4 linked regions of the Drosophila melanogaster genome follow. The protein of the gene in region 2 interacts with the protein of the main gene of each other region in a pairwise test. Each region holds a gene or a part of one and is shown on either strand. Other genes may lie near its edges. The genes, in order: natalisin, CG14708, ApepP and CG14641.

What was found.
Region 1: the proteins of CG14708 (region 2) and natalisin interact in a two-hybrid assay, tested with the Drosophila melanogaster proteins (one large-scale study listed by BioGRID).
Region 3: the proteins of CG14708 (region 2) and ApepP interact in a two-hybrid assay, tested with the Drosophila melanogaster proteins (one large-scale study listed by BioGRID).
Region 4: the proteins of CG14708 (region 2) and CG14641 interact in a two-hybrid assay, tested with the Drosophila melanogaster proteins (one large-scale study listed by BioGRID).

Annotation. Positions count from the first base shown.
Region 1 is NT_033777.3:14,414,401-14,424,000, reverse strand, and holds natalisin (natalisin), read right to left. Parts: upstream 5,409-9,600; 5' UTR 5,210-5,408; coding exon 4,680-5,209; intron 3,472-4,679; coding exon 3,098-3,471; intron 3,032-3,097; coding exon 2,274-3,031; 3' UTR 2,146-2,273; downstream 1-2,145. Other genes in the region: cv-c (crossveinless c), read left to right, coding at 6,968-7,567.
Region 2 is NT_033777.3:11,550,140-11,557,052, reverse strand, and holds CG14708 (uncharacterized protein), read right to left. Parts: upstream 2,909-6,913; 5' UTR 2,865-2,908; coding exon 2,247-2,864; 3' UTR 2,184-2,246; downstream 1-2,183.
Region 3 is NT_033779.5:16,906,218-16,914,759, reverse strand, and holds ApepP (aminopeptidase P), read left to right. Parts: upstream 1-4,341; 5' UTR 4,342-4,451; exon of another isoform or gene 4,452-4,575; 5' UTR 4,576-4,602; coding exon 4,603-6,444; 3' UTR 6,445-6,531; downstream 6,532-8,542. Other genes in the region: tweek, read right to left, coding at 1-3,056, 3,120-4,088, 6,637-7,252, 7,322-8,183, 8,247-8,379, 8,445-8,542. UniProt on the Drosophila melanogaster protein: Catalyzes the removal of a penultimate prolyl residue from the N-termini of peptides, such as Arg-Pro-Pro.
Region 4 is NT_033777.3:4,228,838-4,236,784, forward strand, and holds CG14641 (uncharacterized protein), read right to left. Parts: upstream 3,506-7,947; 5' UTR 3,406-3,505; coding exon 2,149-3,405; 3' UTR 1,942-2,148; downstream 1-1,941. Other genes in the region: DhpD (dihydropterin deaminase), read right to left, coding at 1-151, 208-306; abs (abstrakt), read left to right, coding at 4,292-6,151; Gel (gelsolin), read left to right, coding at 7,927-7,947.

The sequences.
Region 1 (9,600 bases), 2.9 Mb from region 2:
GAAGAAAGACTGTGGGAGAAGCTGAAAAGCTGAGAAGCCGATACTTTGAAATGAAAGTGAAGCGACAAAAGGCTTCTAGCATTTCACCGGCAGCAATCATAATTGCAGACAGCAATTAAGCCGCTGTCACAGGCTGCCAGCTACTCATGCTGATCGCGTTACAATTGCAGTTGCAGAGTTGCAATGCAGCAGAGTTGCAATGCCGCAGAGTTGCAATGTTGCAATATTGCAGCGTTGCATGTTGCCAGTTGTCAAGTTCGGCTCGCTGACAATGCGTTGATATTTTCCGACAAGCAAATCAGCAGCCAGCGAGTCAAAATAAAGTAAAATAAACCAAAGGCCTTGCCACAAAAATTGAGCCAATTTGCTGATGCAAAATCGAAGCTTACAACTGGGAATCGCATTTCTGCGGTGAGTGCACTTCTGAGCCCGGACTTTCTTTTCCTCTAGCCACTTGCCACAAGTGACACAAAGTAGCCTGCTGCTCGATCTTAGGAGTTTTGAATTGAATTTTTACAATCCTCACGCCTGACACAGGATTTGCTACCATGATTGCCTAAGTTGTACAACTAGTTTTAATACTCTTTACTGAAATATAAATTAAAAGCTTAGAAGAGAATACAATAAACAATGACCAAATCAACTAAATAACCATCATGACCTATGTGTAAAAAACAAAAAAAAATAAGTATTAGTATGGTTTTAAGATACACCTATACAAATATTTACAAAATTCAAACAATCGAAGCCACTGCTGCCTACACTCCACCTTTTGCCAATAAAACTGAATGCAGTACTTAAAGATTTTTGTTTTGAGTTATGTAAGAACGGTATGCGAGGGCTTCTGCGGGATTTCTACTGAAGCTGTCACAGCTGTTTAGCACTAAGCTTACCTAACTCAAACTGTGCCCTCCACGAAGGCGTACCTCTAACTCGATTTCAGCCATTCTGGCTTTGAAAAAGCTGCACGTGAGCTAACCACTTCAAGTGTCATTGCCCAGCCGAGAGTTGAACTCTAAGAAAATGTATAGTATTTGTGGACAGGCTTTGCTTGCATTCTTCCCAAACCAAACATAGATACACATATATGCATATACACACTCCATATGAAGTGCCATTGAAATTATAATGATCTTCAGGGGATTTCGGACCGATCGCTCGGACGTCAGGCTACCAGAAAACGAAAAATAAAGAGGCCAAATCGAGATGGAGATGGAGCAGCACATGGGTACGATATTATTTAACCAATTTGTTGTTGCCCGCTTTTGGATCTGGCTATGACCTTCAATGGTCATTTGTTCAAAAACAAAGCGAGCTGGCAAAAGGTCCGCTGGCTTACCAAAAATACAACACCAAAAAAATGAAAAAAAAAAGAAAAATATTTTGACGTTGATGTCGATGTGGTCAATGTCAATGTCAGAAATCGGTTGAAGTGGAAAATTTCAGTTCACAGTGGCTTACAAATTCAGTGCTTCTCCCGCTTTTTGTTTAAGGTTCAATGCTTGGCTAATAAGCTAAACTCGCGTGATTGATGTGCGTTTTGGGGATTACATGGCCCTTGTGGGGCTGACCTTTGCAGTCGCTCAGCAGCTGTTTTCGGTTTTCTTCTGCCGGACTTACAAACGGCTGCAGTTGTTCTACAATATCTGTGTATCTGTATATCTGCCAGCATATCTCTGATGTGGCATCAACTGCGTGCCACGCCCGACTGTCTGCAGCTGGGTTTCAGGGTTTCTGCTGCTTCAACGGAGTCAAGACTCGATGCTGGGCACAATACTGATTGCATTTAGCGATAAATTAACCAATGAATACAATTAAAATAGGAATACTCGCACTGCAACAACTTTGCCAAGGGCAACGGGGCGAGACCTTCGCAGAGAACACGGGAAAAAATACAAGTCAATCGATTTTAGAAGAAATTCTAATACGAATATGTGTGATAAAAATATAAATATATAAAATTAAATTAAATAAATATTTTTTTTTTAGGTTAAAGGCTTTAATCAAAACTTAAGTGCTGACCTAAGGACTCCTATACCAAGTTAAAAGATTTTCTCTCAGTGTGGTTCTGAAAAAGCGTCCCCAAGGGCAATGTAGCCGATCAACCTTCAGTTCGCTACGAATCGATGCGATTTCTCTCAAAATCAATTGCATGCTGTACTTTATTGTGTGCCATATAGTTGTGTCTACATGAGTCGAGGAAAACAGTGCCCCAAGCCGAAAACTGAAAAGCCAAATAAATCCAATCCGAAAACGAAATTCGCTCGCCGCATTTAAATGTTTAGGTTGTCCGTATCGGTGACCAAATGTGGATTAGCCGGGTGCGATAGCGTTAATTGTGTCTCGTGGGCATCGTTTGATTCGCCCGGGGCCAGGATGGATCTCCGGAGGCGCTCCTCTGCCTGCCAGGATGAGGTTTTCACCTGATGCTGCTGCTGCTGCTGCTGCTGCTGGCGCATGTTCGGATTGCCAATGAAGCGGACATGTGGCAAGAGCAATTGCTGCCGCAGATCGGCTGACATTGATCTTGTCGAGTGCAATCTATTAGCGGGCAGTCGCCAAGAAGCCAACGATGCAGCAGCATCCTCCACTGACAGTGATGGCCTGACTGATTGATCGTAACCATTAATTTTATGCGTTGACATTCTTAGCGGCCAGTAGTTGTTGCTGTCATCTGGCCATTTTCCACCACCCGCCATCGTCTCACCCAATTTCCCGGCACTGGCTGTCAAGTGCCGCTTGCCGCGATTCGGAACGAATGGATCGTCGGCGTTGTAAAGATCCCGGAGCTGCAGCTTCTTGCCCCGGGTGGCAAAGAAGGGATCGTCCACTTGGAAGAGGTTGCGATGCTTTTTGCCGCGATGCGGATAGAACAGGTCGTCATACTTGAACAGATCCTTGACCTTGTCGCGCTTGCCGCGATTGGGCACAAAGGGTTCGTACCGGTTCATCAGGGCGTCCAGATCCAGCGATCCGCTGTGCTTGCGACCTCGAGGCGGTATGAAGGGATCGTTCTCCTTGCTCATGTCTTCTGGAAAAAGTCAGTCGAGTTATAGTAGATTATCCATAGTGATAGCAGTTTCTAAAATACACTCACCTCCAAATTGATAGCCATCGAAAAGCTTTTCCCTTCGTACCAGCACATACTGGGGCTCATCCACAATAAGTGGGGGTTCCAGATGGCCCGAAAGATTTAGTTTCTTCCAGAGAAACATTCCTGGATAGTAGTTCTCGGCAGCTCCATCGCTCAGATTGCCCAAAGGACGTTCAATGGGATACAGGACCTGCATGGCCCAGTGCAGAAACTTCATCAAATCCTGTTCGCCAGTTAGCAGCATGAAGACCTCGTTGTTGCTCTGCTCCTCATCGTCGACATGTTCCTCCTCGGAATCCGAGGAGGAGCTGGCCCCAGAATCGGAATCCTGCATCGAACTCAGCTGCATGTGGAGGCGGGACAGCGCCTCTTTGTTCCTGATGGTGAGGAATAATAAGGGCTTACGGTTTCTATACTCTGATTAATGCCCCATCATTTGTTCGCTTTAAGGAACAGCACATTTTCACATTTTTCTCTTTGGTCTTGAGCGTGGGTTGCTGGCCATGGGTTTCAATTACCCTTGTTGGCCAGAGTTTCTCTTTTCAAGAAATTAACTGAAGCCGACGACACCAAATTGATGAACTTCTTTTTCCCACTCACAACTTGTGACCCCAATAAAAAAAAAAAAAAACGCCTAAACTCTTCGCTTATCCGAGGCTGTCAGGCTGATCCGATTCAATCAAAAGTCAATTTGAGGCAATTCCACAGAAATTACTGTGTAAAATTACAAATTAGACGAGCAGCAACAACAATCGAAAGTTATGCGGGCTCATGGTTAATTAATCAAACATTTAACAAATCAACAAAGAGCAAACATAAGCGAACAGAAAACAATAATGTTAAGGTCCCAGCCCTGAGATGATTAATTCGATTTTAATAGCAGCGCCCAATAATTTTTCAACACAACATAATATTCCGCTTAAATTACAAGCCGCGGCAAAGAAAGGAAAGAAATGTTTTAAAATAAAAACAAAAGCTGGGCGAGCAAAATATTTCTCACTCGCCGAAATGAAAAGTGAAACTCGTAATGCAGTTTTCGTTTCGATTTCGTTTCGGGGCAATGAATTTGCTGACAGTTGTTATTTTATAAAATAAATCAACATACGTGGCGGCGGTCTCCTGGCTCTGACTTGAAACAAAACTGCAATCGTCGGTACTGATTTTTTCACGCCCATTAATTGGTTTTGCGTGTTCCCAGTCGACAGCCAAATTGTCGACGATTTGTAGCCCCTCTCTCGAGAAGGTTAACCTTTTTATTTTTTGGCAGAGCCTGGCGCCCTGAAAAGGGTTAGCATTAACCCTCTTTTTGCCAAAGGTGTGGGTTTTCAGATTTATATGTTTTAATATTTGCCAAAAATAACGTTCAGATATCCGTTAAGGAACAATTAATATTGAAACCATAACTTTTTCAAAAATGTACAACTTTGGGCCTTAGTGGGTTAAATTGATACTTTTGCTGCCAAATCGGTTTACATGTAAGGCGGAAACGAGGTGCTCAACTTTCTCGACTTTCCTTCTGTGCAGCCTTGAACCTGCTGGCCAATCTCTGGCAGCCACTTTGCCACCCACATCCTGGACTCCTTACCTGGCCGCCAGCATGGTGCGATAGTATTCCTGCGGACACTTGCTGGTTCCAGATCCGCCGGATCGACCCTGACAACGCTGGCCCCAATACCGATGAGGGGGCGTGGTGCGATAGTTGTTGGGCCCCAGACCCAGACCCATGCCCAGTTCCATTCCCATTGCAATTTCCTGCGGCGCTGATTGCCTGGCCCCTAAATCATATGCGTTTCGATTAAAATCCTCAGAGCGCTGCGCTGCTGGTTGCTCCACATCGGACAGGCTAAATTTTCCAGAATCCATGGGTCCATTGCCATTGCCATTGCCGTTGTGCATCATATCGCGCAGTGCATCGGCGGGGCTGTCAAACAGGACGCGTGCATCCTTTTTCTGATGCTGCTGCTGCTGCTTCTGCTGCCGTTGGTGGCTCAAGGCCGCCTTCGTGGCCGTGGCGATAAGCGATGGTGGCAAAGATAGGACCACATTGCCATGGCCATGGCCACCGCCGCAATAAATCGCCAGGCAGAGGCTGAGCCAGGCCAACGTGAGCCTCATGCTGTCTGCCGCCTTGGTCGGAGGATCGAGGAGCGACTTTGGACACAGCAACTCCAACTCCAACTTTAGTCTCTCGAAGTTGTGCCAATTTTTATTTCACTCCACTCCAGCCTCGTCGGCCACTTTGAAGAAGCCAGTTAGCCAGGCGGCCAGTCCGCGGCATCCGCTGCGTTTTTGGCTCTTAGAAAAACGGAGAGACTGAAACTGAAAGTTGCTGGTCAGCGGTCCAGCTTTTTATAGCACGAGAACGAGATCCAAAGGCCAAAGGAGCGGACCGCGGAGTTTTGGGAATACGCCTGCTTGTCGCGCTCGAAAGACCCCTGGTCACATATGACAACACTTAGAGAAATTGGAATTAGAAATGAAAAGGGCCTTTAAAAGATCCAGGAACTCATTCATATCAAAAGAACAAATATTATGTTTTCACAGTGCATGATTCCTTGGCATTGCCAATTGTTTGTCATATGCGTCCTAGCATGAAATTAATAAAAAGAAATTGCATTGTACGGCGTCGAACTGGGAAATATGGCGACCCACTTGAGATGTCCCCAAGCCAACTCTCTCATACGTCACAAGTTGAGTTCGAAATCAACTGAAGTCAGTTGAACCAAACTCGATTGGTGTGTCCGGCTCTGTTTGCCTAACCTGTGAACCCAGAACCGCCTTCACAAATTAGCCAGCCAACTTCTCGCCAATGCCCGAGTGGCCCCCGTCGATAAGATCTTAGAGTATGCGGCTTTCTTTCAAGCCCCCAGAAGCAATAGACTACCTCTGAGAATTTATTGCCTGCTAATGCTCGATCGCATTTGTCTGTGAGTTGCCCTTCTGGCAACAGGAGCAGCCACGAAAAAAAGGGAGAAAATTGTGGCAAAAGGGGGAAAAACAAGGGCTCGCAAACAAAAACACAATTGTTGAGTAATGAGCACTGCACGTTATTAATGTCACTGGGGATGCGGGAAGAAGGGTCTTCGGAAAGGGTTCTATGGCAACAGGGACCAGTTTGTTGGGTTCTCTGGGTCTTGGGCCACGATTTTTAATTAAGTAATTCGCTGACTTTGTTAGCCCTGTGGGCTCCATCTGTCTCTGATCTTCTCTGGCGACCATACGGAGTTCTCTTCCAGTGCTTCTTTTTTTTTTGGTTTTGGTTCGTCTTTTTTAGCTGTGTTTAATCTGGCTAACAAATTGCTTCATTTCAATTTATTTGCATTCGAGTCGTGTTTCGCTGGGAGTTCGTGGCTGCAGTTTTCTGTTTGGATGCGAGTGTGGAAAACCTTTTTCTGCCTCCGCGGTCGTGTTCTAATTTATTTGTCTTTGATTGTGCCCATGTCTCTCCGGGATGTCTCCTGCGGTCGTGTCCTGGCCTTTCTTTTTGTCCCTGTTTGCGGGCCAAATTAAGCAAACATACATCATAGTCGGGGGCCATTAGAAGAAGGTCTTTGTGGACGCGAATGTGGCGCTTTGGGCGCGATTAATAGACCATTGCCTTGATATATGTGCGCAATTAGAGCGCTAATCAAAACCTAATCTCCGCCACAGTGCGGAATTTATGGGTCTTGCATACATGGACAGAAAACTAACAACGAAGGGGATTAATAGGTGGACTAGGAACTGCTAAATGTAAAATAGCATGTCTAATTGTTTGTTTACCGATTGCTATATAGATGAGCCAAAACATTACATTTTTAAAGCAAAATTAAATCCCTGATATCCATTATTTCTCCATGTGCACCTCACTAACAACTGCCATTCTAATTTCAGCGGGAAATCAACGAAGTCTTCGAGCTGCGCAAGGTCCAGCGTTTGGAGCAGCAGCTCCGTGAGCAACTGGAGGAGCGGCTATCGCAGGCAGGAGTCCAGCAGCTTGATGAATTGTCTCGTTCCACGGAATCAGATAGCGGCTTTGACAGCAGCAGCACCACAGCAACATCGGGCACACCAGCAACAGCAACAGCAGCAGGAGCTGGAGCAGTCACATCGGGCAAGCCAGTGACAACTAAACTAAGGGCACTCCCGCCGCCGCCCCTCAGTCCCACCAAAACCACGACGAACTCCATGCCCACTCCACCTGTCCAGGCGGACGATGTTAACATTTGGGCCTGCAAGTTCCTACGTGATCTGGACAGCCTGATGGCCGCCGGTGATAAGCTGCCCCCGCATTTGGCGGCCCTGGCCGAAGGATCCGGTTCCGGTTCGGCCAGCAGCTCGCCCACCTCCAGGACGGCGCCCATCCTCCTGTCCGCAGCTGCCTCGGCGGCCATACAGAGTCGACTCGGCAAGGGCTCATCATCCATCATGGAACATCAACTGCAGCAGCAGCAGCAGCAACAGAACGGACTCGTCTTGAAACCAGAGAAGCACGTGAGTACACAGTTCAAAATACTTTGTAAATAAGATGTAAGAGGCAGCAGACCCACATCTTCAGGGATAACATCCTTAAAAAGTTTCGTGTATCAAATTCAGTCTACCTCAATTTCATTCAAGGGATTTAAAAAATATTGAAGCTCTTCGCATAATTAGAGCTCAGCAGCAATTTTACATACACGTAATCTATGCCTATTTGCATAACTTTTAAATTGCAAATTACCATTTGAAATTTCGAAGAAGGTTAAACCGCTGGTGTATGCATATGTTCTGCAGCTTACGCTCAGATTTCCTAATCTCAAATCTCTGAAATTCCCGTGTAATCTCTGGTTGCCTTAATTTCGACATGCTAGCGAGCAAACAGCGAAGCATATTTTATGAATGTGGGCTAGATAAAATGCGCTCAAGACGAAGGCATTTAATCTGAATCACAACAATGTTGTCAACACACACAGGCGGCAGCAACACAAACTTTGGGGGCCCACACACACGGCATGCCCCCAAAAAGGGACCAACTTCCCCCAGAAATTCGGTGAGTGAGGAATGTGTTCTTTCAAGAACTGCCATATGTTCCATCCATCCGTCCATCCATCCATTTGCCGGATGCGCAACTGAGGCGCGTGAAATTTATGGGCAACGGAGTAGAGGAGTCGGAGATGATGATGAGGATGAGCAGCAAGATGAAAGTGGGGGCCACTGAATTGGTCTGTTGATAGACAGTCGTCACTCGGTGGCTGGCACTTGAACGAGTTAAACTTTGAACTGTTTGAATAAGATAGACAAGTAGGCAAGTTTTATAGGAGTTGCATTTTCGGGGGCTTCGCAGCGCCATAAAATGTATCATAAAATGCTCTAATTAGTGCAGTTCTTACTCAGCTTTAGATTGAAAGACAATTGGAGATTGATTGCCGAGCATAGAGTCGTAAAATATTCTCTAATTGGAATCGTAGGGTCGCGGAGGAAAAAAGGGCAAAGTTTATGAAGATGCTGCAAGTTCAACTCTGTGATAACCCAAAAGGAGCTGTTGCTATTAGAATGCCTTGGAAATTAAATGATGACAACAGGAAATCTAATATTAATATTAATTTCGTATTAAGCTATAAAAACTTGTAACTAAACTTACACTATATTTTTCCAAGTGCTTCGGTTTTTGTCTTTAGAGAAGTGACTGCAATCTTTGGCCAACTCGCTGACCCACTTCGACTAGTCGAGCGAGGCCCATAAACCATAAGCCCCGAAACAGACCAACCAACTTGTTAGCTGTCTCTGGCTTATCAAGCCGAATATATCTAATTAAAACATTTATAATCCAAAACGGCACATAAACGGCACTGAGCTTGCGGTCTCCTCCACGGTTGCATATGCATATGCTTAGCACACATTGTGCTCACCTCTGTGGTCCCCCATTTTTAAGGGGGAAAAACCTCAAAAAGGCAGCAGCCGACTGGCTGCAAAAAGACAAATATTAATTTTCAAAACGCGTGCCATGCCATGCCAGTGGAAAAACACGACATCAACACCGAAAAGCGAAAACGAAAACCAAAAACCCACAAAAACCGGGGAGTTGATATGCGGATGGGGTAAAAGGTCTACATTGTTGTTGGCGTTTCTGTTGACAACTCGAAATATTTGCTACCAATCGATATGGGGAGAGCAAAGTCTCCTGGCCCATTTCCTTTCCACTCGTTCTAGTTGCAAAACGAAAGGAAAGCGGAAATCATTTCGCCTGGATCTGTTTCCAGCCAAGTACAGCTTAGTCCACACAAATAGGTCATAGGAAGGAAGAACTTTATGACTAAGATTTATTTATACGTTTGCTTTATGTAAATTAACTCAGTTCATATGGGTCTTTTATTACTTAAATATCTTACCGAGCTATGAAGATTACAAATATTACGAGTAGAAACAATTAACAAGATATTGTATAGTATAGACCATATTTTTGCGATCAGAACTGTAGCTCTTGTCATCCCGCCTGCAAAATAGCTGTCGAATTTTCGGATACTGTCACTGGAAAAAAAAACACTCCC
Region 2 (6,913 bases):
GATGGATGTATGAAGAATGGGGGGTGGTTTGAAATTGGGCGGGGAAACTCGTCCCGGGGAAGGTGGATGCGGTGGCTCGACTTGTCGTAATGGGTCTGCAAACTCGGATGCCTGGGTAGGTAATTCAATTTTGTGCAAATGCTTGATTTGCCATTTAGCTGCGAGACCTAATACTGCTTCTTCAGTTTTGCCTACACACAGCAAAAATATTCCCACGCAAATGTTATGCATTGTTAATGCCATGCCTTTGGGAGCAGCACTAGTTGAAGGTGTTTAAATTAATGAATAGATAGTTAAATAATTCGTGCGAGCGAGCAAATTGCAAAGGCCAGGAGTTTCAAGTTGTCTTTAGGCCTTTAAAGTTTTGTATTCTTATGCGGTGAATTTAGTTGTATAGCATTAATATAAGCATTTGGATTTGCTTATAACTCAAGTTTTTCCCGCCGTGCTTTTCCATTTCAGCGTTCACTTCGTCTTAGGCCTACTTCATCTGCTCCAAATCTTGGCATCGTCGGCTTCTCTTCGGCCACAGTTCACATAAGACTTTTGTCATTATATTGTTAATTTGTTTTAGTTGTTTTTTAATTTCCTTGGAGAGTCGCAACCTCGTTGAGACTAACAACATGCGTGCGGAGGACTCGCATGTAGTGGTGTTCTTGTTAGGATTGTGGAATGATAGGTGGGTGGCTGGGTGGCTTGGGTGCGAATGAGGATGCGGATGTGGATTTGGATTTGTGTGGGTGTGCTAATGTACTGTGAGTGGATCTCTGGTAATAACGGCTAAAGTAAAATGCTGATAAAGTGGCGAATGTTTCGGAATGTGCGAGTGTGTTTGTGCGAGCGAGGATTCTGCTGCGTGGCTGCGATGACAGGCAAAAGCGAACACAAAACGTTCATTTCCCACATGCACCATTATTCGTTGAAACCCGTAAATTTCACCGAAAACGAACAGCAGCAGTAGTCGCAGCAGCATCAAACAGCAGCAGCAGCAGCAGAAGCAGCATCAGCACAAGCAGAAACAGCAGCAACGTGGCAGCACCAATCCAAGGAGCTGCTTAACACGAGAATAATGTTTAAAATGTTTATTATGTGTGCAAGTGACGCGAGCTCCTTTCCCCCCCCCCCTTTCCATGCTCCTTGGTATCTTTCCCCCTTTTGGATGACAGGCCCAACCGACAGGCCAATACGCACACATAACTTTACACAGACAGAAAAAATGGGTGCAGGGTTAGAAGTTTGACATTTCAAAATGAGCAACGTGCACATTCAAGTACAATCCAACCTTAAGATCATAATTAATACTGCAAAGAAACTTGTCACACTATATATAGTCAATAATAAATTAACTTTAAATATACAAAACAAATATTTCGTTAATTTCCTTATAATTAGGGATAAGTATTAAAGTACAGTTAAGCCATTAGTATAGTGAATTATGTGGACTTTCAGCAACATCTTTATTGAATACTACCATGTCGTCAACAAATTTCAAGGCCTGCTGCAGATCATGACATAAAACCGAATTTTTGTAATTAGCATATTATGCTGGAAACCACTTTGCAAATTCATAAGCCCTTTATTTCAAACATTCTGCTGGGCCGACGTAAAATCCTTAATCATGCGAACATGAAATCAAATCCTGACTGCGTGTAACCGCTTTGCGTACGAAATACTGGGTGTTTTGTCTCTCTGTGCGCAGTCATATGTGTGTGTGCGTGTGTGTGTGTGAGTGTGCGTATGTATGTATTTACATGTGGCAATGTTGATTTTCGTTGTGCCAGCGCCGGATGCGAAACAAGTAGTCCAAATAACCCGCAATAAGCTTTTGTCACGATTAACAAGGCTTACGCAAATGTGTGTCTCTGTGGTGGCAATGTGACTGCTTCCTCTCACTCGAATTCCGGACAACCTAGCCCCCTCTTCCACCCTTGAAAACCCCTTTCCACGCCACTGTTTCCAGCATAATTACATGCACGCCATGCTCGCCTTGGTGTGTGTGTGTGTGTGCGTGTGCGTGGGAGTGGGTTCGTGTATGTGAGCCATATTTTAGATTAATGATGGCGTCGACTCGTATTAGGCAAATGAAGAAATCGACATCGACATGCGGTTGAGGAGAAGTTGAACCTGCCACCTCTTTTGGCCACGTTTATCGTGAAAATCATAACCCTTAACGAACATCTGTTGGATAATTACATATTTTTTTTATTAGCTGTAAGAAACTTCAGCATTCTTATAGCATTGCTGTATTATATGATTTTATATTTTGCCACATTAGAGCGGTCGACCAAACGGATAATTGCGGTGAAGACCAGGTCGGAGGCCGTTCTGCGATTGCCGTTGATGAACATGTCCTCCAGATGATCGTAGATGGACTTGAGGCGACGAAACAGACGCTCATTGGGCTCCAGCTGCATTACCTCCTCGTCCTCATGGTAATTGACATCAATCTGAAACGCCTTTTCGTTGAAAATGGTCTCCGGCTCCACTTCCCAACTCATTAACTTGATCAAATGGTTGAGCATCGGAAATGTGTACTTCTTATTGGTAAGGTACTTCTCCATCTCTTTTACGAATTGCTCATGCAACTCCTTGGATTTTGGTTGTCCTGCTGGAGCAGCAGCAGGGATATTATTTGCTTCATTCTCTATTTGCTTCATCTGCGACACCTCGTGCAGTAGACGATAGTCATCGATCAGGGAGCTCCTATCCAGATTCACGGACGCCAGCTCCTCGTCGGTCAACTTGTCGATATTGTAGAGACTCGACAGCTCGTTATTATTTAGTTTGCAAATGCCGGCAAACTTCAATTTACGCGAATTTGGATCGGAAGCCAAATCATTTGCATTATAATGCTGCTCGGCCATTTTAGTGATATGCTGCTATACTGCACTATATATTTAACTGTACTATAGTAAAGGATTATATTTGGTTTTTTTTCTTTTTCAGCTCCGACTTTGTCAACTTCTGATTTGTGACTAATGCGCCGAGATCAAAGTCAGAGGCTACTGAGACGAATTATTTGAGTGCGAAAGTTAAACATAGGCTGACTAGATTTTAATTTATGAAAAGCATGTCCTGTTGGGAGGATCTTGGCTTGGGAACTAGGAAACTCCTGAAACTGGGGCCCATCCTGTGCGGTTTTCGCAGCACTTCCGCAACAAATTTGCCACAATAATAAGTGCATATCATTATGCTGATTTAAGTGGGCACCCCACACCCAAACCCAAACCCACATATACCCATCCATAGCGAGTTATTGCCCGAGCACCTGACCTCACCAACACAGCGAAAGGAGCTCAGCCCCCGAAAATCGCGCCCCCAAATATATGCTACACAGGAATCGCGGGTCTGGAGCAACGAGTTCTGGGCAACGGCGTGCATGCAAGTGGGTACATAAATCTTTGTTTAAAGACACATGCACAATGTAAGTTAAATTGGCAATAACGTGCTTTCTTTTATACGCCAAGCTCACAGCAACACATACTTACACACATACTGTGCCCACAGGTGCGGTCAACCGAATAGCAATCGCAACTTTCGTCACTTCAACTTTCTTAATTGAAAGTCGAAAACATTGAATCGAATCTATAGATGCTCATACTTGCGGTTCTATTGCTAAAAGTTGCTCTTTCAAGTGACAGATAGTTGGGAAATTGTCTTAATAACTACATAGAAACTTAATTAAATCTGTTTATCAACCGCAAGAAATTTATACTCGAAACGAGTGTAAAAGTGAAATATATTGTCAAAACTTGCTAAGAAATTTTCCTTGAAATTTAGTTGCCTAGTTTCTAAGCAGCGTTTTCCGTGGCACATTATTATGGTGCATAAGAAAACATAATTAATTATTTATGTTTATATTACCCAGCCCCAAAAACCCTTAAGTGTGCGCGCCAGTGGTGAGATAATAAAATGTTCATTTGCAGCGCTATTATATTTTTTCCCAAAACTGTAGCACACACATACACACGCTACATAGCTACGTAGTACGTAGTACGTACACACACCGACATGCATATATATGCAGATGTAGATGTGGCCGTATACATAACGGTAACGGAACCTTGTTTGCAAGGAAGTAACAACCTGTTTTCACCCCGTAGTTGGTGGGTATTCGTCGCGGACGAAGTGGGCGGCGCTAACGTATCCTATGCCCCCGCCCACTCTGCTTTTTGTTGCTGTTATGCTTTAATTATGCCCTTGTCAAAAGGTGGGTCTGGGTCTCCGGCCCGGCGTGACCGTAACTCCAGCTCCCCCCCAGCTCCTCCAGCTTGATCCCCTTGGCGCGGGCTTTGTTCGAGCGGATATAAATTTACTATATGGCAGCGTGTGCGAAGGTTGTCTCATAAAATTCGGGAACACACATCATCGATTCCAAATACGAGGAAAACCTGCAGCATCATCAATGCAGAATGGCGTGCTCCTCTTCTCATCCTTTTGAGAGCCGTTTTTCCTTCCAACATAGCTTTCATATTTCCATTGCCCTCCTCCTTGAAAAAAGAGAAGAAAAACGGAAAAAGTAAATATAAAAAAAAAAAACTAACTAAAAACCAACAAAAAAAGTTCCTCTCGTTCGCCACTTGAGCTGCTATTAAAGTCGGTTTTGGCCGAGCGAAAACGGAAACACGATTTTCAGCTTTTCCAAGGCGACATGCAATCAGCGGTCGCAACTTGCTGTTGCATCCACTTGCTACTGCCAACCGAAAGTTTTGACTTTTAGATGGCCAGTAATCAGGCATCCCTCCGCACTTGCCACTCCGCACTCTTGGTCAAAAGTCAAATACGAATTCATTTGAATGTGATTGTTTCACTTATCATAACAGGATTATCATGGCCAGCAAAAGTATTACGATCGTGCTTTGTAAGCATGCTGTAAGCATGAACTTAAGTAAATAACAACTTCGAATCTACTTTTTAATCCTAATTTAATAAAGAGATAAGTTAATTTAACTTTCCATCTCTCATTTGATATTTACTCAAAGCTTTTTAATAAACCAATTTGCTGAACACATCTCTTAAATCTTTTAAAGTGCTCTAAAGATACACCCATCATATGGCAGATAGCGTGGAAAATGGCTAAAAATCCAAATGAGCAGGGACACATGGAGGGATTTAAGTCAAAGTAGCTTGTAAGCTGATAAAAACAATTTACAAGGTACTTTTGCTACTCACTGGAAATATGTTAGTACTGTCTTTTATTCTGGATGTCACATCTAAGTGGTTTATAAACGAACTTTTTTGTATAAGCCATTTCGGTAATTGTGAAACTTCAGTGGCACAAACAAAACAAAAAAAAAAAACAAAAGAAAACGTCGCGCCAAAGTTAATCCCCAAAAACAAGACATCGTTTGGCTGTAATTCAAGTGGAGTCTCGGAATTAATGAATCAACTCCTTTGCTTCTATGATGAACGACATCTATATTTAAATATCGTATTTATATGCTACCCGTTTTGTATATTGCTGCCATGCCACGCAATCTTATCGGGCCAAGCGAGTGCTTATCTCATTAAATGCCAGGAGACGTCATTGAATCATTTTACAAATGGCTGAGTACATGTCTCATATGGACAGGGGCACTATATGCCCCTATACACGACTATAAAGCCTAGAACTTGCACACACACACACACACACACACACATGCACGCACACACACATAGATACGGGGGCACACGCACACAGCGCAATTGCTGACAAATGAGATAATTTACACGCTGAAATGAAGCCCATAAAGGCTCATTTAAAATTCAGCGGCGTCTGGGGCATAATTTTTTTTCGCTGCTTTGCTTTTCTTTGGCCCTTTTTCCATTTCCACTTTTCTACATTTCCACCGCCGCCATCGCCGCACTCCACTTTTTCCGTTGTGTTTTGTGTTTAATGGTTCCTTACCATGACATACGTGGCTGGATATTAAAAGTGGATGGATGGGTGGTAGGTGGGGGGGAGGGGCTCTGGAGGAGCTCGGCAGCTCGGCAAATAGCTCTGGGGCCCCCAAAAAAGCAAGAGAAGAGACAGCGACGAGAGGCAGAATCTTTATTAGCATACGGCATAAAAATGTTTATTAAAGATGGAAGGAAAGCGAGGCAAGGCTCGACTGAACGGAAAAGCGGAAACGGACGAGCGGGGGGTCGAAAATAAATGAAAACTTTCCCTCGCCGATTGTAAGAATCACAATTTAGTTTTTCTTTTTCCGGTTTGTACGCGCCACGCCGACCGGCTTATTGTAAATCGAATTGAAGTTTTTTTCTTTTGATTAAGCTCCGAAATAACTGTAGGGCGTTATGGCCCCTCCCGGCCACGCCCACTTTTAGCTGCGGGCAAGTTTTGTCATTTGTTGTGTTTGTGTGTGTGTGTGTTATTTTTTATGATGTTCAACTTAATTTTATACAAATGACCTTAGGTCATATCACCATTTATATCCGTCAATCCCTTTTCGGTATAAGTTTTATATTTGGCTGTTTTCGTTTTATTCGCCTAGATTCGTCCGAGAGTCCTTAGTCCTTCGTCCTTCGTTTGTCTCTGTTGCTTTTAAGGGCATTTTTATGTTCGCTGGAAGCGGCAACTAACAGCCGAACGAGTCCTGAGCTGTCCTAAAAGCCTTTAGCCAAATATCTTCAAGAGACAGGAGCATCAGGAGCAGGAGCAGCCGGAGGAGGAGCAGAAGTAGGAGGAGCAGGAGCCACAGGAGCAGAAGCGACAGACACAACAACGGCAGTTGGATGGGTTGAAAGGATTCGAGCGTCGAATCCCTAAATACACTAACGCAAGTCCTTCGATAATAGAATTTAGGAGCATTTCACGCAGACTTGCCAAGAACATTTGTCTTCAAAACAAACCACTTTACACGAAATATATGTGACCATAGATATGCGAATTCCCCTGCAAGAAGCTGCAGGATCTCCCCAGCTTTTG
Region 3 (8,542 bases), on a different chromosome or scaffold from region 2:
AATTTGAAGTACATCTTCAATAGATCCGCCGTTGTTGACTTGCTGATCATGATCTGCAGTTGGTCCCAGGTAAGATCGCCGTGAATAAAGATCAGAGCTCTGGGTTGGTCTTTGCCATGTGCTGGAGTTGCTGCCGCTTGGGAAGCAGTGCGCCATTCATCTTTCATGGCAGCCGAGAAGCTACTAATTCGGGTCATCAACACTGAAGTTCCCATATAATCTAGTCGGAGTTCCAGGGCCATAAAGCTCAGGCCCATAGTGTGGTAAGGCTCCATGCCCGCCTCCTCCTTGATATGAAAACGTTTGTTGATCTTGTTCACCTCGAAACTACCACCCACAATACCACCCTTTGCATCTAGGGCTGATCCACCCAGATAGATCCCAGCATACATGTTCTTGTAGCCTGTGCTTCCGATCGAAAGGCGTCCATCCGATTGAAAGTCTTTTGTGAGCCAGACAACATTGCCACACACATTGCCAATGTTCATTTGCACATTTAGTTTGGTAAAATTAACTGCAAAGATGACCAGAGTCTCCCAGGCAGTGATTTGGTTCTTTTCAGAGGGAGGCGTTCCCGACGATTCGGCGCTAGAGGATTTGCCCAGATTTTTCAAGTGTCTTACAGCGCCAAAGTGTCCCAGCTGCTGCTGCTGCTGCGACGGTTGTCCATCAAAGTCGAGGCGCATGTTATCCTTTGCCCTAGAGGCATCTTCATTGGGCGTTGGCGTGGCAGGTGGGCAGCCAGTTGGTGTCTCTGCTCCATTTCCCTGTTGCTGCTGCTGCTGTTGCTGCACACTAAGGTCACCCAGGAAGAGCCTTCTCACAATCCTCCTGCGATACCAAGCTTTGGGGAACGCTAGGATCTCAGTCAATCTCCTCATGTCGTACTTAAAACTGGCACTACCAATATCCACAATGGTAGAGAACCGTATTACGGCTCGCGATTGATCAAGAGATCTCTTAGAACTGGGCAGAGGCTCAATGTACACCTTTCTGCAACGCGTAATGTGGAACTTGACGAACTCCACGTTGATACTCAACGAATCCTTCCTTTCACTGTCGCTGAGAGGTGAAAACTGTGTCTCCTTAGAAGTCTTTTTGCCACCATACGGATGGAAAATGAACACATTGAAGTCGGCAAGGCAGCCTGTAACACTAAGTCCTCCAGTGGGTAGCTGCTGATCTGGTTGGGTATGACCTCCTGGCTGTGCTGAGTTCTCCTCCTCGCTGCTCCTCTTTGAACTGAAAACAATATCCAAACTTGGCAGCTGAAGCATACATTCTACTCTAGAAACTGGCAGACAGCTAAATCTGAAGGTAGAAGGTTGCATATGAAAGTAAACTATTACATCCACCGGAAATGAAGCATAAGTCACATAGTTGGCAGGCAGTATGTCCAGATTAACACCTGTGTTGTGGGAGGGAGTTGGCGGAACACTACTCGATTGCCGAGCCGGAATGGGTTCTAGAGTCTGCTCTAGGAATTCCAAAATATGGGGTGATATGATTGTTTCCTCTGGTATACTCTGTAAAGTCATCCAAGCGCACAAAGTTGCTCGTTTGCTGCCCATTCGTCGTCCAGTTGGCAACTGATCTCCGGTTAGTTGCTCGGCCAGTGTTTTTGACTGATAATGAAGTTTTACATCCAATCCTGGGATGTGGAAGATGGTGAGATCCGCCAGCAATGCATTTGCATTGTAGCGCAGCTTGCTCTTGTCCCTCTGCCTTCTCGAGGGAGTTGGACTGCCCCAATCGTTGCCTATGCTTTTTTCCCGCTTATGAGATTTTACACTTGAAGCTGGCACACCACTTGTAGCTGCTCCCGATCCACCAGCGTAGCCTCGCTCCTCACCAGTATCCTTCGTATGGAGCACGCATTTTCCAGAGTTCACAAGCACCTTAATGTCCAGTTCAAAATCAATGTTGGGTTCCGGCTGTTTCTGTCCATGTCCATGCTTGCGTCGCATTTCCACGGAGGTGCCATCAACATCAATCTCACTCGGCGTGATATCCCCTCTCCAATCAAGCTCATTGTCAGCTGTCTCCGTGTCCGTGTCCGCATTGGGCAGTGAAGTCTGGCGCATAGCCTCTGTGAAGGTGACTCGTCCAAGAGCATTAACTCCCCCTCCAATGACTCCTCCTCCTGTTGTATGTTTTAAGGAAGCACTGCGGGAATGACAGGAGGCCGGTGTGCTTTGCAAGCTAGATATCTCATCATTGGACGCAATTGTGTCCAGTCTTCTGCCAGTATAGCTAACATTGTCCAGTGTTTGCGGAACGCCAACTCCACTCACTGAAGATCCAGATCCAATGTAAGAATGCGAGCGACCGTAGGTCTTCAGGGACCTTCTCAGCGATGGTCTTTTCCACTTCTGAATCATATCTCTACGGAAGTACTTGTAGCAAATGGCTTGTAGCTCTTGGAGTCGTCTTTCCTCGTGGGCCACGGTATTATGTGATGCTCCGAGAGTACGCAGATCATTGATAATCTTCAGCTGTTCGGCCATCTCCTTCTCCATCATGAAGGAACGCTTCTTGGAATCGATTGTGGGATCAAATACAAAAGCTGGCAAATTGTCGAAGTCTCCTCTGCGCCGCACAAACGTATCTCTGCAGCTCTGATCTCCTTCATCGCTGTCCGGTGATTCCATTTGGGTCTCATCCTCTTCGAATCCCGTGAGCATGGTAAGAGTGTGGCCAAGAGAACTCAGCTGCTTGCCAATATTCACATCCAGGTGAATATCCACGCCCTCCATTTGCCACTTGACATTCAACAGCCACTTGGCGTTCTCACCCTTCTTAGCTGCTGTAGTGCGGGAACACACCTCGAAGGTTCCCTCGGAGACAACGCAAACGTTCATAATGGGCTCAGCGCTGTTGGGCTTCCAGTCATCTAGATTTGTTTCAAAATCATCGGCAAATCGCAGGCACAGACCCTGGAACTTTCCCTTAGACACTAAAGCTCCCGAGTTGCAAGCTGAGATAATCGTGTTCTCCAGCGTGATTACAACCGCGCCCTTGGCATCAAAGTCTTGGTATGAACGGGAGCCAAAGGTCTGCAAAAGAAAATTTATGTGGTTCAAATAATCTTTATATTACAGATTTAATTGGATACATACCGTAGTGTTGACCTGTTTCAGGGGCAAGCAAATGCCCATGTCCTCCACGGTGAGTTGCAGGAAGAGCGTAGACAAATTTGAGCCTGCAATCTGGCCAAAAGCCACGCGATCGAACACTTGTGGATTCTGCATATTTTGGTTCTGATGCTGTCCCGAATACTGACTAAGGAGACTGTGCTGAGCGTGCTCGTGGCAGAGATTCGCACGCTTCTCCGCCCAGTACTCGTAAGCATTCTTATAGTTAAGCCACACGAGGATCGCCTTGTCCACGGCAATTGGCTGAACGTAGACCAGTGGTCTCTTCAGGGTCAGCAGAATCAACTCCTTGTCTTCGTTGAGCAGTTCGTCTTGGAAAGCATTCCTCAGGTTAATGGTAGTGTGGAAAAAGGCGTACTGCTGGAACTCCGGCTCGGCCTCGTCGAAAATCACATTGCGTATAATCTGACCCAGGGACAAGTTGAAATCTATGTGAGCCTTAAAGAAGAGCTTACGATTGCTCATATCGCCTAGGTTCTTCACACGGTTAGACAGCTGCAGCTCCAGGATTCCGGTCTCGAATCGAACAGCCGAGGAGCAGGGTGTAGTAGCCGTCAATTGGATGCGTTTCATGGAAATGTTGATTGAGAAGAGGATGCGCTTAAGCGAGGACTCCTGTACTGCTCCGGAACTATCGCCACTCTCTTCCGTCCACAGGGGCACAGGTTTCTCTCCTCCGTAAACTTTCTGCAGAACCTCGTTGATTTCGCGCATAAACACCTTCTGCACAAAGACCAGATGGTTTAGGAGATCTGTGGTCAGGCAGCGCTCGAACTCGCCGATCTCGGCGCTGGCGTTCACGTAGCCACCTTGGCGCAGGACAATGCCCTCGACATTTTCCGTGTGATCCTGGCGGTGGTCTGGAATGTATTCCGCCAGAACGTGAACAGGTGGCAGGCCAATACAAGCTTCCGATGGAAGGTTCATCTCATTCTAAAAGGAATTACAAAGAAAAAACACATTTAATTACATCTACAACATTTTTTAAGATCTTAGTTGAATTCTTTTCAAATACTGTTGCTGAGCTTCTTTATAAGAGTTATACTCCTTTTAATTATACATTAAAAACATTAATATGGGATAAGTTTCTTAATGAAATATTTAAATTGTTCCCGCTACACTTTTAGTGTTACCCTTTTAGGCAAAAGCTAAAAAATACTGAAAGCTTGGAGGCGATATGAAATAATATAGTTCAGCATTTTTGACGTGCTATTAATTGCAAAATTGAATGTGTCAGTGCAAAAAGATTATAAAATATTTGCACCCTGTAGTTTAAACAATAGTTTGACAGCCTTTGTAAGTGTGACACTTATATTCGCCCGATTATTTATGTATTTATGGGATACAAGAAACTCGATTACGGTTGATTATCTTATCGCCCCAACTGGACTACAAATTCTGTGTTTTTTTTTTCGCTCAGTTATTTTGCTGCCATTGAGGAACCACAATGAAGAGGAGCACCACCCAAATTCTGACCAGGTTGAGGGAGCTAATGCTCCGCGCCCAGGTGGGCGACTCCTGCGGCATATCGGCATACATTGTGCCCTCGGACGACGCCCATCAGTCGGAGTACCAGTGCCAGCATGACGAGCGACGCTCCTTTGTGAGTGGTTTCGATGGATCCGCTGGCACGGCGGTGATAACGACGGAGACCGCACTGCTGTGGACCGACGGTCGTTACTATCAGCAGGCGGAGAAGCAGCTGGACTCCAATTGGGTTCTAATGCGGGATGGTCTGAGCGCCACCCCGTCGATTGGCGCCTGGCTGGCGAAGAATCTGCCCAAGGGCAGCTTTGTGGGCGTGGATCCTCGCCTGTTGTCGTTCCGCGTATGGAAACCCATCGAAACGGAACTAAGCTCCGCGGAATGCCAGCTGGTGCCCATCGAAGGCAACCTCATCGACGAGGTCTGGGGTGAGGATCAGCCACCGCAAACCTCAAACAAGATTATAACCCTGAAACTAGAACATTCTGGCGTAACTATCGCCAAAAAATGGGACGTGGTGCGCCAGCAGTTGAAGGAGAAGAATGCTGATGCCCTGGTGGTCAGTGCTCTCGATGAAATCGCTTGGTTCTTGAACCTACGCGGCTCGGACATTGACTTCAACCCCGTCTTCTTCTCCTACTTGATTGTGACCAACGATGAACTACTGCTCTTTGTGGACTCTGGCAAATTGCCCACTGATTTTGTGCAGCATCAAAAGGAGAACAATGTGCAGATAAGCGTTTTGCCTTACGCCTCAATTGGCATTGAAATCAGTAAGATTGTGTCGACCAGGGAGTCAAAGATCTGGATAGCACCCACCAGCAGCTACTATCTAACTGCTTTGATACCCAAGTCACGTAGAATTCAGGAGGTAACGCCGATTTGTGTGCTGAAGGCCATTAAGAACGATGTCGAGATCGCAGGCTTCATCAACAGCCACATTCGCGATGGAGTCGCTTTGTGTCAGTATTTCGCCTGGCTTGAGGATCAAGTGAATAAGGGTGCGGAAGTCGATGAAATGTCTGGTGCCGATAAACTCGAGTCCTTCCGGTCGACAAAGGATAAGTACATGGGCCTTAGCTTCACCACAATTAGTGCTTCGGGACCCAACGGCTCTGTTATTCACTATCACCCAAAGAAGGAAACCAACAGGAAGATAAATGACAAAGAGATTTATCTGTGTGATTCCGGAGCTCAATACTTGGATGGTACTACGGATGTGACGAGGACCCTTCACTTCGGTGAACCCACTGAGTTTCAGAAGGAAGCCTACACTCGCGTTTTAAAGGGCCAACTGAGCTTCGGCTCCACCGTATTCCCAGCTAAGGTTAAGGGACAGGTTCTTGACACTCTAGCGAGGAAGGCCCTGTGGGACGTCGGTTTGGACTACGGACACGGAACCGGCCATGGAGTAGGTCACTTCCTAAATGTCCACGAAGGTCCCATGGGCGTAGGAATTCGACTGATGCCCGACGATCCTGGTCTCCAGGCGAACATGTTTATTTCCAATGAGCCTGGTTTCTACCAGGACGGAGAGTTTGGCATCCGTGTCGAGGATATTGTTCAAATTGTGCCAGGCCAGGTGGCACACAATTTCTCCAACCGAGGCGCCCTCACATTCAAAACCATCACCATGTGCCCGAAGCAAACGAAAATGATTAAAAAGGAACTTCTATCGGATGCGGAAGTAAAGCTGCTCAACAGCTATCATCAACAAGTCTGGGACACTCTTTCCCCAATCCTATCTCGCGAAGGAGACGAATTTACTCTGTCCTGGCTCAAAAAGGAAGTTCAGCCCATTTAATTGCATTTTTAACCCGTTATTTCGGTCATCTTTAACTAATATTCTTTCCCATGCATACACTTACTCTTTTCTCAAGACTAAAATATTAAAAAAAAAATGCTTTTATATACCTTTTAAAAGGGCTTATCTTAAATTTGTACGCTGAACAAATATTATGTAAAAAAAAAAAGTTTATAAATGTGTAAAGCTCACCTGAATTTTGGTATTAAAGCTGAGCGTGTGCGTGGGTAGGTCGATAACAAACTTTGCCCTCTGCCCAGTTACTCCCATGGAACTAACATGATTCATGCGATACTGGGCCTGCAGCGAAGGAAGTAGCGCAGCATTGATGGACAGACTCTGCAAGAGCACATTGAACTGCATGACCAGGGGCTGAAGCAATCCATTCTGGTGCTGTGCTGTGCCTGTCTTGGATTGCGCCATGTGTGCTGCCCGGCGAGCCGCCTGTTGCGGCTGCTGCTGGGCACCAGCTCCGCCGGAAACAGTGCGCTCCCGCATTTCGCTGGCCACTCCAGTTCCACTGCTGGCTCCAACTGAGTTGCGGGCATGGAACGGAGACTCAGGCTCCTCGGCGGTATGCGAACGCATCGTGGACCGACCAGAGTTACGCTTTACACGCAGCTCCTGTAGAGTGGACGACAACTGCTTAGAGCTTCGAGTCATCATTCCATGTAGGGCCACCGGATGTTGCGGAATGTCTATGTTAACAGCACCAATCGACAGCAGGCCACTGTTCTTATCCTTTCCACGCTTGGAAAGGCTTGAATAGAGAGTCTGGCTCTTACCCACGGTTACCTTTACTACGGTTCTGAAATGAAATACAAACGAGTTTGAATACCAATCACACAATCAGAAAATCAGGCAAAGTAGTGCTTACTGTTGACTGGGAGCCACTCCTTCGAGCAGCACAATCATGGCTCGTCCCACTTGACCAGTAAGGGAGCATTCCAAGGAGACAGGACGAGCCTTTTTCCTCCAAGTGGCTGTGCTATTAAGAGTGGTGATCTCCGATTCCAACTTGAGGCCAGAAAGCGTGGCCAGCAGGCGAGTCTTGTGAATCTTGGCCACACCGAAAACTATCAGGCGGGTTCGTTCCTGAGATGAAGCATCTACCAGCAACATCTCCCTATGTTGGGGCAGAGGTGTTGGTGCACTGGCCAAGTCATCATCGTCGTGCGCAAAGCCCGCAGACTTGCTTTTGTGTTCGTTCAACGAGCTCCTTTGGACCACAGTCTTGGTCTCCGGCATTGTACCATACAACTCTAACAGGTGGTAGATGGTCTTCCAGCAGTTGGGTGTCTCTAACATCGGCGCCATCGTTGGCATTCCAGCTTTGGTCAGCGTGTTCTGGTAATCCCCACTGACACTGGTGGCACAAGCACCATTCAACGAAGCTTTCGACTCCGTGGACATTTTGAGGATATTATGTTCGTGGAGCGACATTGTTGGACTATCCCTTAGTGGCGATGAACTGGACTCATTCAAATTCGTGTAGCCCAACTTGCCCTTCACGGATTTCCCAGTGGATCTAAGTTTTTGGGCGAAGCTCTGGGGTCTGTTCTTGGCATTTGGAGAAGGTGTCAGTTGAATAATTGGAGCCAAGCCTCCGGGACGCGGTCTTGCCAACATTGTGGGCATCGTTTCGTTGAATTTGTCATAGCGTTCATCTGAATAGTTTTCAGCATGGTTATAGCGCTCGGACATCGAATTAAATGGCACGATGTCTGTGGGCTCAGAAGCTGAAAATTAGAATGATTAATAGGTTTAAAAATACAGTTTGAATGCAGTGATCGTTAACTTACCCAAGCTGCACTCGTCTTTGGTTTGGCTCTTTTTGCTTAGCTCAGGCTGATCGTGAAACTCGTTCTGGGCATCCTTTACGTTTTGATACATATTGCAGATCTGATGTAGCAGCCTCAGCAGCGGCATATTTACCTGAAATCCATAAAAACATTTTTATGTAGCTTATGTGCATTTTAAAGTACAGATTCTCCACCCACCTGCTGCGAGATGAATCTCACATTTAGACTGAAATTGATCACAGTACTGGTGTGCTTCTTTAGCTGGCGACGCGACATATAGATAACATTCTGTCGCG
Region 4 (7,947 bases), 7.3 Mb from region 2:
CCAGTTGCGCAAACTGCGGGGCGTGTATGTGGCAGTCGACGAAGCCCGGCATGAGGAACTGGTAGTCCGACAGGTGAACCTCGGTCAGACCCTTGGCGTGGGCCGGATTGCTGCTTGCCCACGCATGGTAGTCTTGTCCCACTCCTATTATCTGTGAGCGAAATTGTTCATTGCTCATTGTTTTGTTCTGGGCATTAAATTGCCTACCTTGCCAGCGTCGTCCACTGCCAGGAATCCTCCTTCAAAGGACTCAAACTCGCTGAACGACTTGGTGTGCACGACAGTTCCAAGAAACACGGTTGCCATTGCTCTGATTTACTATCAGCGGGCTTAAACGTGCTGTACGACAGACTTGAGAATGTAATGATCAAGATCCGCTGAACAAGTTTTAAAACTCTCGCCTAGGTGCACGCGTCGCCCTGCGAATGTGCGCATAATCATACGGGGATGACACTTACTTTTTATTTCAAGGTTTAAATCGCTGGAAAGATTATTCCCAATCGTTTGGTCGTTACTTTAAATATTATTACTTATTACTGTTTTAATAAGCGATCGCTTGCACACGTGTGATTTATCGGTAAAAACTACAAAACAAGCAATAATTAACTTCAAAATAGCTGTTGCAAAACCATTAATTGTAAAATTGTATATTGGAATGAATATTGAAAAAACATAGAATACATTAATCATATGTTTAGCTAAGACAAAACCCCCTTTCTGGAAGTAAAGAAGAGTAAGAGTGACGGGTAAAAGAAATATAGCCATTATATAATTTACAGTTAGTCTAAGATTTCATTAGAATAAACATATTTGCACTGCTCGCACCTGTACATATGTAACCTTTACCTACCCTGTAGTCCCACAATTCATCGCTATTAAAAAATATTACATCATCTCTCTCTTAAAATTTTAAAGCGATGCTAATGTTCTTAATCATAACGAGGAATAAGCGATGATTTTGAAAACAAATTCATCGCTTTTTAATTTCTAACCGAAGGTCTCAGTATGCGATTTTTTATTTAATTGCAAATTTAAATTTAAATTTTAAATTTGTAATGTACATAGAACATGTTTGCAGATCACTTGCCTATAGACTTTTGTGAGAAGTAGACGCGATTTTGAGTGCTTGTTTTAAAAAAAAATTGTAAATATTTTGGAATTTAATTCAATAATAATTACAGGTAATGGATTTATTTTACAATAAGCAACAAACACTACTCACAGAAACGATAATTTAAGGTAAATTGGTTTAACTCGTTTTTGTATACATAATTATACATTATTTTACCTTAAGGTAAATCGGACATGTGAACTGAAAAGAAGCTGGTCCTAACTCCGTAGGACAGGACGCCAAAGACTCTGGAATTTCACATACATATATATGTATTTGTATTCTTAAATTTAAATCCTATGCATAATTTAAATAAGTCTAATTAAGAAAATACATTTTTATTAATAAATGACTGAAATTTCACTTTTTCATTAAAATTGATAGAGGATTAAGTGAATAAAAAGAGGTGTAGAGAGATGAATTGAGCTATCATTTATAGCGCTTATGCGTGATTTTGATTTTGCGCTATGCGATGATTTCCTAGAACATAGGTTCAGGTCATGGTTTTTTTTTTTAATACAAATTAACCTGTGATTAATTTGATCGAGATTTTTAATGATCAGTAATGAGCTGATGAAATCTGAATGAATGGAATGCAGGGAGGTAGTCATAATCCCAATGTTAAGTTCCCCTATAAATACTGAAGAATGAACTTACATATGTACATGTGCATTGGTGTACTTTTTTTAATCCCAAATATCGTCCAAATCAAAGAAAAGCATTTATTAAAGGTAAAAACGAGTGACGAACGCACATCAACATACATATGTACAAAAGTTTTGATATAAGCTTTTGTGACGAAAATTTGTTCTTTTTTTCTTTTTTTTTTTAGAGTTTAAATCATTTATTATTATCTTCTCCTCTCTAATTGTTTGGTGTTTTTTCTTAACAATTCGAATCGAAAACAATTTCGTCCATACGGATAAATTCTATTAATATTAAGTCATTTTTATGGAACTGACCACTTTAAAAAGTTTGTATTTAATTTTATAAAAATGATTTATTGAATTGGAACCATTGTAGACCACAGGGTTTTCCTACTTTTTAACAGCTCCCATCCGACTGGCGTCCTGACTTGGATACGGTACTTGACCCGGTGGCGGAGGAATCGATATGGAATCCAAATTGACACCCGAGGAAGAAAGGGCTGTGGAAGTGGCGTTTCCGTAGGGAGCTGCATAAGTAGGCTGACCATACATTTGGTAAGCCGACGCCGGAACTAGATTTGATGGCAACTGATGCAGCTTCATGCCGGCGGGCATGACATTGATTTGCTCTTGGCGAAGATTGAAGTAGTCGTTGGGCTTCGCGCTAGGCGGTGGAATGCCGGCCAAGTCGAAGCGTCTGTCTGTCTTTGCAGCGGTGCCCTGCTTTGCCTGAGAGTGAGCCCACTTAATGCTCACCTTCCGGCCCTGGATCACCAGTTTATTAAAGGTCCGCTCAGCAGCCAGCTCGGCAGCGTTTCTTTTGGTGTATTGCACAAAAGCGCACTGCTGGCGTGGCACCAGCGCAATTGATCGAATTTCGCCGAACTGGTAGAACTGATCTCGCAGCTCGGGTTCCGTGATTTCTTCAGGAAGGTTCCCCACATAGAGAGTTGTGATGTTGCGGTCCTCCGGCGGCTCGAGTGTGGGAAGCGAGGCTGCACGCTTCATGATCTTCTCGGCCACAGGATCGTTGCGTCCGTAGTACCTGTCCTTGATGTTTTGCTCACATAGCGGATCGTCCGGCTCGTTGGGCTTGTCGTGGCGGTATGGGCACTCCTCTCCACGCTTGCACTCGCCCTTAACCCAAAAGGAGCAGATGTGCGGCCGATTTCTTTTGTAATAGGGTGCTGTGCGCGCAAGCTTGGACAACATCTCGTTGGCGGCGAGGGATCGACCGACAGCTCCTGCCGCCTCCGTGCCATCTCCGTCCTGCAGCTGGGCGTCTATGTTTTGGATGTAGTATTCCTTGTTAACGTCGCTTTGTGGCATATTGTCAGCCACTTTGAGCGCCGCATCTCGTACTTGAATCGGCAGTCCGTACTCCAGGTCCAAGAGGCAGGTCTGACACACGTTCTTCAGGCGCGCACACGTTTGACATATCTCCGTCTTTTTGAAGCGCATACGAGCACCAGGACACCATCGAAATATTGTGAATGGACGCGTGCATATCTTGCATTCCTTGCCGAACCGCTCTTTAATCATCCGCACGTACGGATTGTCGCCAAGGCAAGTTTGGCACAGAATTGGGAATTCAGCATCTTCCCAGTTCTGCCGGTTATAGGTGTTAGTCGTTTTTGACATAGACATAGCAGCGGCACTTATGTACCTTGCACTTAAAATCCGAGCTAAATTTAGACAATGCTCATTCGCTTTCTACTTGTCGAAAATGGTGGTGTGTCGCGAGTGATATACCAATATCGATAAGTTGAGCCAGAAGCAGACAGTTAGTTCAAAGTCAGCAATCGATATAATTTATTGAATTTAATAGCATATTCACACTGCTTAGAATATATATCTATACCCAAATGCACACAAAAATATATTGCATTCGACTGATCCGAAACCGATCAATACGATATTCTACTATTCTGTACTATTCATGTTCGCTAACCGTTTAACAGAAATGTTCCTGAAACACTTTTGATAGCACGCATAAGTTCATATAAAATGTTTCTGGGCGATTTACACAGAGTTTTTGGCACTTTTAATTCCGATGTTCGCAGTTACGTATTCACTGCGCTCTGACCACTTATGTTATTCAATTAATTATCATTATTTACGAACAGCACTTTTGGCCCTGCTTTAAATATATTTACTAAGTATTTTTACCTGCCTGTTATATTTCACCAACAGTATGGCAACCTTCGCGCTAAAAGTTGCATTTTTCACGTTGCTTGGTTTTCACAAAAAAAGAAAGACTCAATCTCAAACTCAGAAAACCAGAGCACCTAAAAACGAAATCGAAAGATTTTGCCCAAATTGAAAAAAAAACTATTATCCGGTCTGCATGCCATGAATATATCATAAGCAAGAAGCTGTCAGTGGAATCACTGTTTAATAACTGTAATCGATACCCATTAGAATATAGTATTTTTCGGGCTCGCCTAATTTAAAACGTCGTACGGTGGCCTTTGTTGTAGTCAAATTAGGCGAAAACGAAACAAACAAAAATCAGAAATATAGATCGAATGCTATGGCGCACGTAAAGCGGTATCGGAGGTCGTCTAAGTCCTCGGAGGAAGGCGACCTGGACAACGAGGACTACGTGCCATACGTACCGGTGAAGGAGCGGAAGAAGCAGCACATGATAAAGCTGGGCAGGATCGTGCAACTGGTTTCGGAAACGGCCCAGCCCAAGTCGTCAAGCGAGAATGAGAATGAAGACGACTCGCAGGGTGCGCACGATGTCGAGACCTGGGGACGCAAGTACAACATTAGTCTGCTGGACCAGCACACAGAACTGAAGAAAATTGCCGAGGCCAAAAAGTTGAGTGCCGTCGAAAAGCAGCTGCGAGAGGAGGAAAAGATTATGGAGAGCATTGCTCAGCAGAAGGCCCTTATGGGTGTGGCAGAGTTGGCGAAGGGGATTCAGTACGAGCAGCCTATTAAAACAGCTTGGAAACCGCCGCGTTACATTCGGGAAATGTCGGAGGAAGAGCGCGAGGCCGTTCGCCACGAGTTGAGGATCCTAGTGGAGGGAGAAACCCCCAGCCCGCCAATTCGCAGCTTCCGGGAAATGAAGTTCCCTAAAGGTATACTTAACGGCTTAGCGGCCAAAGGCATTAAGAACCCGACCCCAATCCAAGTGCAAGGCCTGCCCACTGTACTAGCCGGCCGCGACCTAATTGGAATAGCCTTCACTGGGTCTGGAAAAACGCTTGTCTTCGTGCTGCCAGTCATCATGTTTGCCCTGGAACAGGAGTATAGTCTGCCTTTTGAGCGTAACGAGGGCCCCTACGGCCTGATCATTTGCCCGTCCCGCGAACTGGCCAAGCAAACACACGAGATAATTCAACACTACAGCAAGCACCTCCAGGCATGCGGAATGCCTGAGATTCGTTCCTGCCTGGCCATGGGTGGTTTGCCGGTCAGCGAGGCCCTTGACGTCATCTCACGCGGCGTACATATTGTGGTGGCGACCCCTGGTCGTCTAATGGATATGCTGGACAAGAAGATCCTTACGCTGGACATGTGCCGGTACTTGTGCATGGACGAGGCTGACCGCATGATTGACATGGGATTTGAAGAGGACGTTCGTACGATATTCTCTTTCTTCAAAGGCCAGCGACAGACACTTTTATTCTCTGCCACCATGCCAAAAAAGATCCAGAACTTTGCTCGATCAGCTCTCGTGAAGCCTGTCACAATAAATGTGGGTCGCGCAGGTGCTGCGTCAATGAACGTCACCCAACAGGTTGAGTACGTTAAGCAAGAGGCAAAGGTGGTATATTTGCTGGACTGCCTACAGAAGACCGCGCCGCCCGTGCTCATTTTTGCTGAGAAGAAGCAGGATGTAGACTGCATACATGAGTATCTGCTGTTGAAAGGCGTGGAGGCGGTGGCTATTCACGGCGGAAAGGATCAGGAAGAACGATCGCGGGCAGTCGATGCTTACCGCGTGGGCAAAAAAGATGTGCTGGTGGCCACCGACGTGGCATCGAAGGGCCTGGACTTCCCTAACGTGCAACACGTTATTAACTACGACATGCCGGACGATATTGAAAACTATGTGCATCGTATTGGCCGCACAGGTCGTTCCAACACTAAGGGATTGGCTACGACGCTGATAAACAAGACTACCGAGCAGTCGGTTCTGCTCGACCTGAAGCACCTGCTAATCGAGGGCAAGCAAGAGGTCCCGGACTTCTTGGACGAACTGGCACCTGAGACCGAACACCAGCACCTGGACCTGGGTGACTCGCATGGCTGCACCTACTGTGGTGGTCTGGGCCATCGCATCACGGAGTGCCCAAAACTTGAGGCTGTTCAGAACAAGCAAGCTTCAAACATAGGACGTCGCGACTACCTATCTAACACCGCTGCGGATTACTAAACCACTACCACCACCAAATTAAAATAGTAATAAATAGATTAGTATACATACATACTTTTCTGGGAACTTTTAAATTTATTTTCACTCTGTTTTAAGTTCAGTTTGCTGCTTATCGCACGAAGCTTTGCTTATCAATCGTCCCAGCAACCCCAGAGAGCGATCTCGGCCGGACGCGCGCGCGTTTCGGGCTTAAGAAAAATATTATAAAAGCGAAGACGAGCTTTGGCTTTCGTTTAGTGTCTGAGGCAGAGCTCTGCATGCTTGTCGTTCGAAGCGCTTTTATTCAATCATCGCACTGGGATCGTGAGAAATTGCGCAGATCGTATTGACTTACAAGTAAGTGTGCCCCAAAAATTAAATGATGTTTTATCAGCAATATGTAATAACATCGCCCAGAATAGTAGGTTACTCTAGTATAAAGTAAAATTCAGACTAGCCTAAATGATTTCAATTGAAGGCTGATTATATAGACATTAACAACTTTCAAAGCTATTATTTTGCTGAGTTCATTTCGTTAAATTGGTCGTTGATTTGTCTTATCTACTGCTTTGAAAACAATCATCGGAACTGAGGTCGGTTTTATATTAGATAAGCCACTAGCTTTTTACCAAGCTGTGTGTTCTTGAAAAAATAAATTCATAACACTGTATAATATGATCAAATTAAATTGATGGTACCTACAAAATTTGGTTAATTTATCTCCGTTAAATTATCCCCAACTTCATTGGCATTTGGATTGGATTTGAATAATTGGATACACATTTGAATGTTTAAATGTTACCCATGCGCGCGGTTTGTCCAAGAATCCGTTTGTATGATTTTGGCACTGGAAAATGGGTAACTGCCTTTATCCAACCAATTCAAGCTGGTCCAACTTATGGCCGGCTTCGGAATATTATTCCGAACATGCTGTGGCCCATCACTTTCATTTCAAATAGGTATCATTTCGAAGTACGTATGACGTACTCCTGACTGGCTCCCAAGCCTTTACAAATTGGAACTAATGTGCTTGCCGACATAATTTAAAAATCTTATATGATTCCATCCCATACTGAGTTCTCAATAAAAACTGATTTCTTTTTTTTTGGCTGTGACCCAGTTGCAAGGAAGGGCCAAATGGGCTTGCCGCTTGACGAAAACAGTCGTGATCTCATACGCAGGTGAAACTAATTAACTGAATGACAATATGCGATTACACGCTTGCGGCACTTTTTTTTTGCTCTCCTTAACATTATGCTCTGATCAAGCAGCGCACTCGAGATACAAACATGATATCATACAAGAGAGGAGCTGGTGAGCAGAACAACTTTTCGGGAAATATTAAGTATCATTTAGCATTCTACAACTCACATTTAAGAAATCCATCAGGAAGTTTAGCTTAAACGAGTTTGGGGAAGCTCTTATTGTTGAAGACAATTATTATTATTTAAAGACGTTGTTTTCTGGGTGGCTGTATATAACATACGCGTACTTGTTGGCGGTTAAACATCAGTGCTCAGCGATTCGTTCGAAAATATTAACATCTTTCCTTCTCTTATTGCCCTGATGATTCTCTTACTTGCAGTTTCCACACACTCTGCTTAAATCTGGAAGAGCAACTGCCGCTGTTTGAACTAGAAACCAACGCTACGACAAAAATAAAGGCCAATACAAAAGATCGCGTACCCAAACACATCGGGCATATACGCTATTTGCGACTCACAGATACTTATCGCAACAATAAACAAAGCTCCTCGGAACCCTCGGTCGTCGACCAGAGAAGAGGCAGACTCGAAATGGATGCCTCCGGCGCCGCC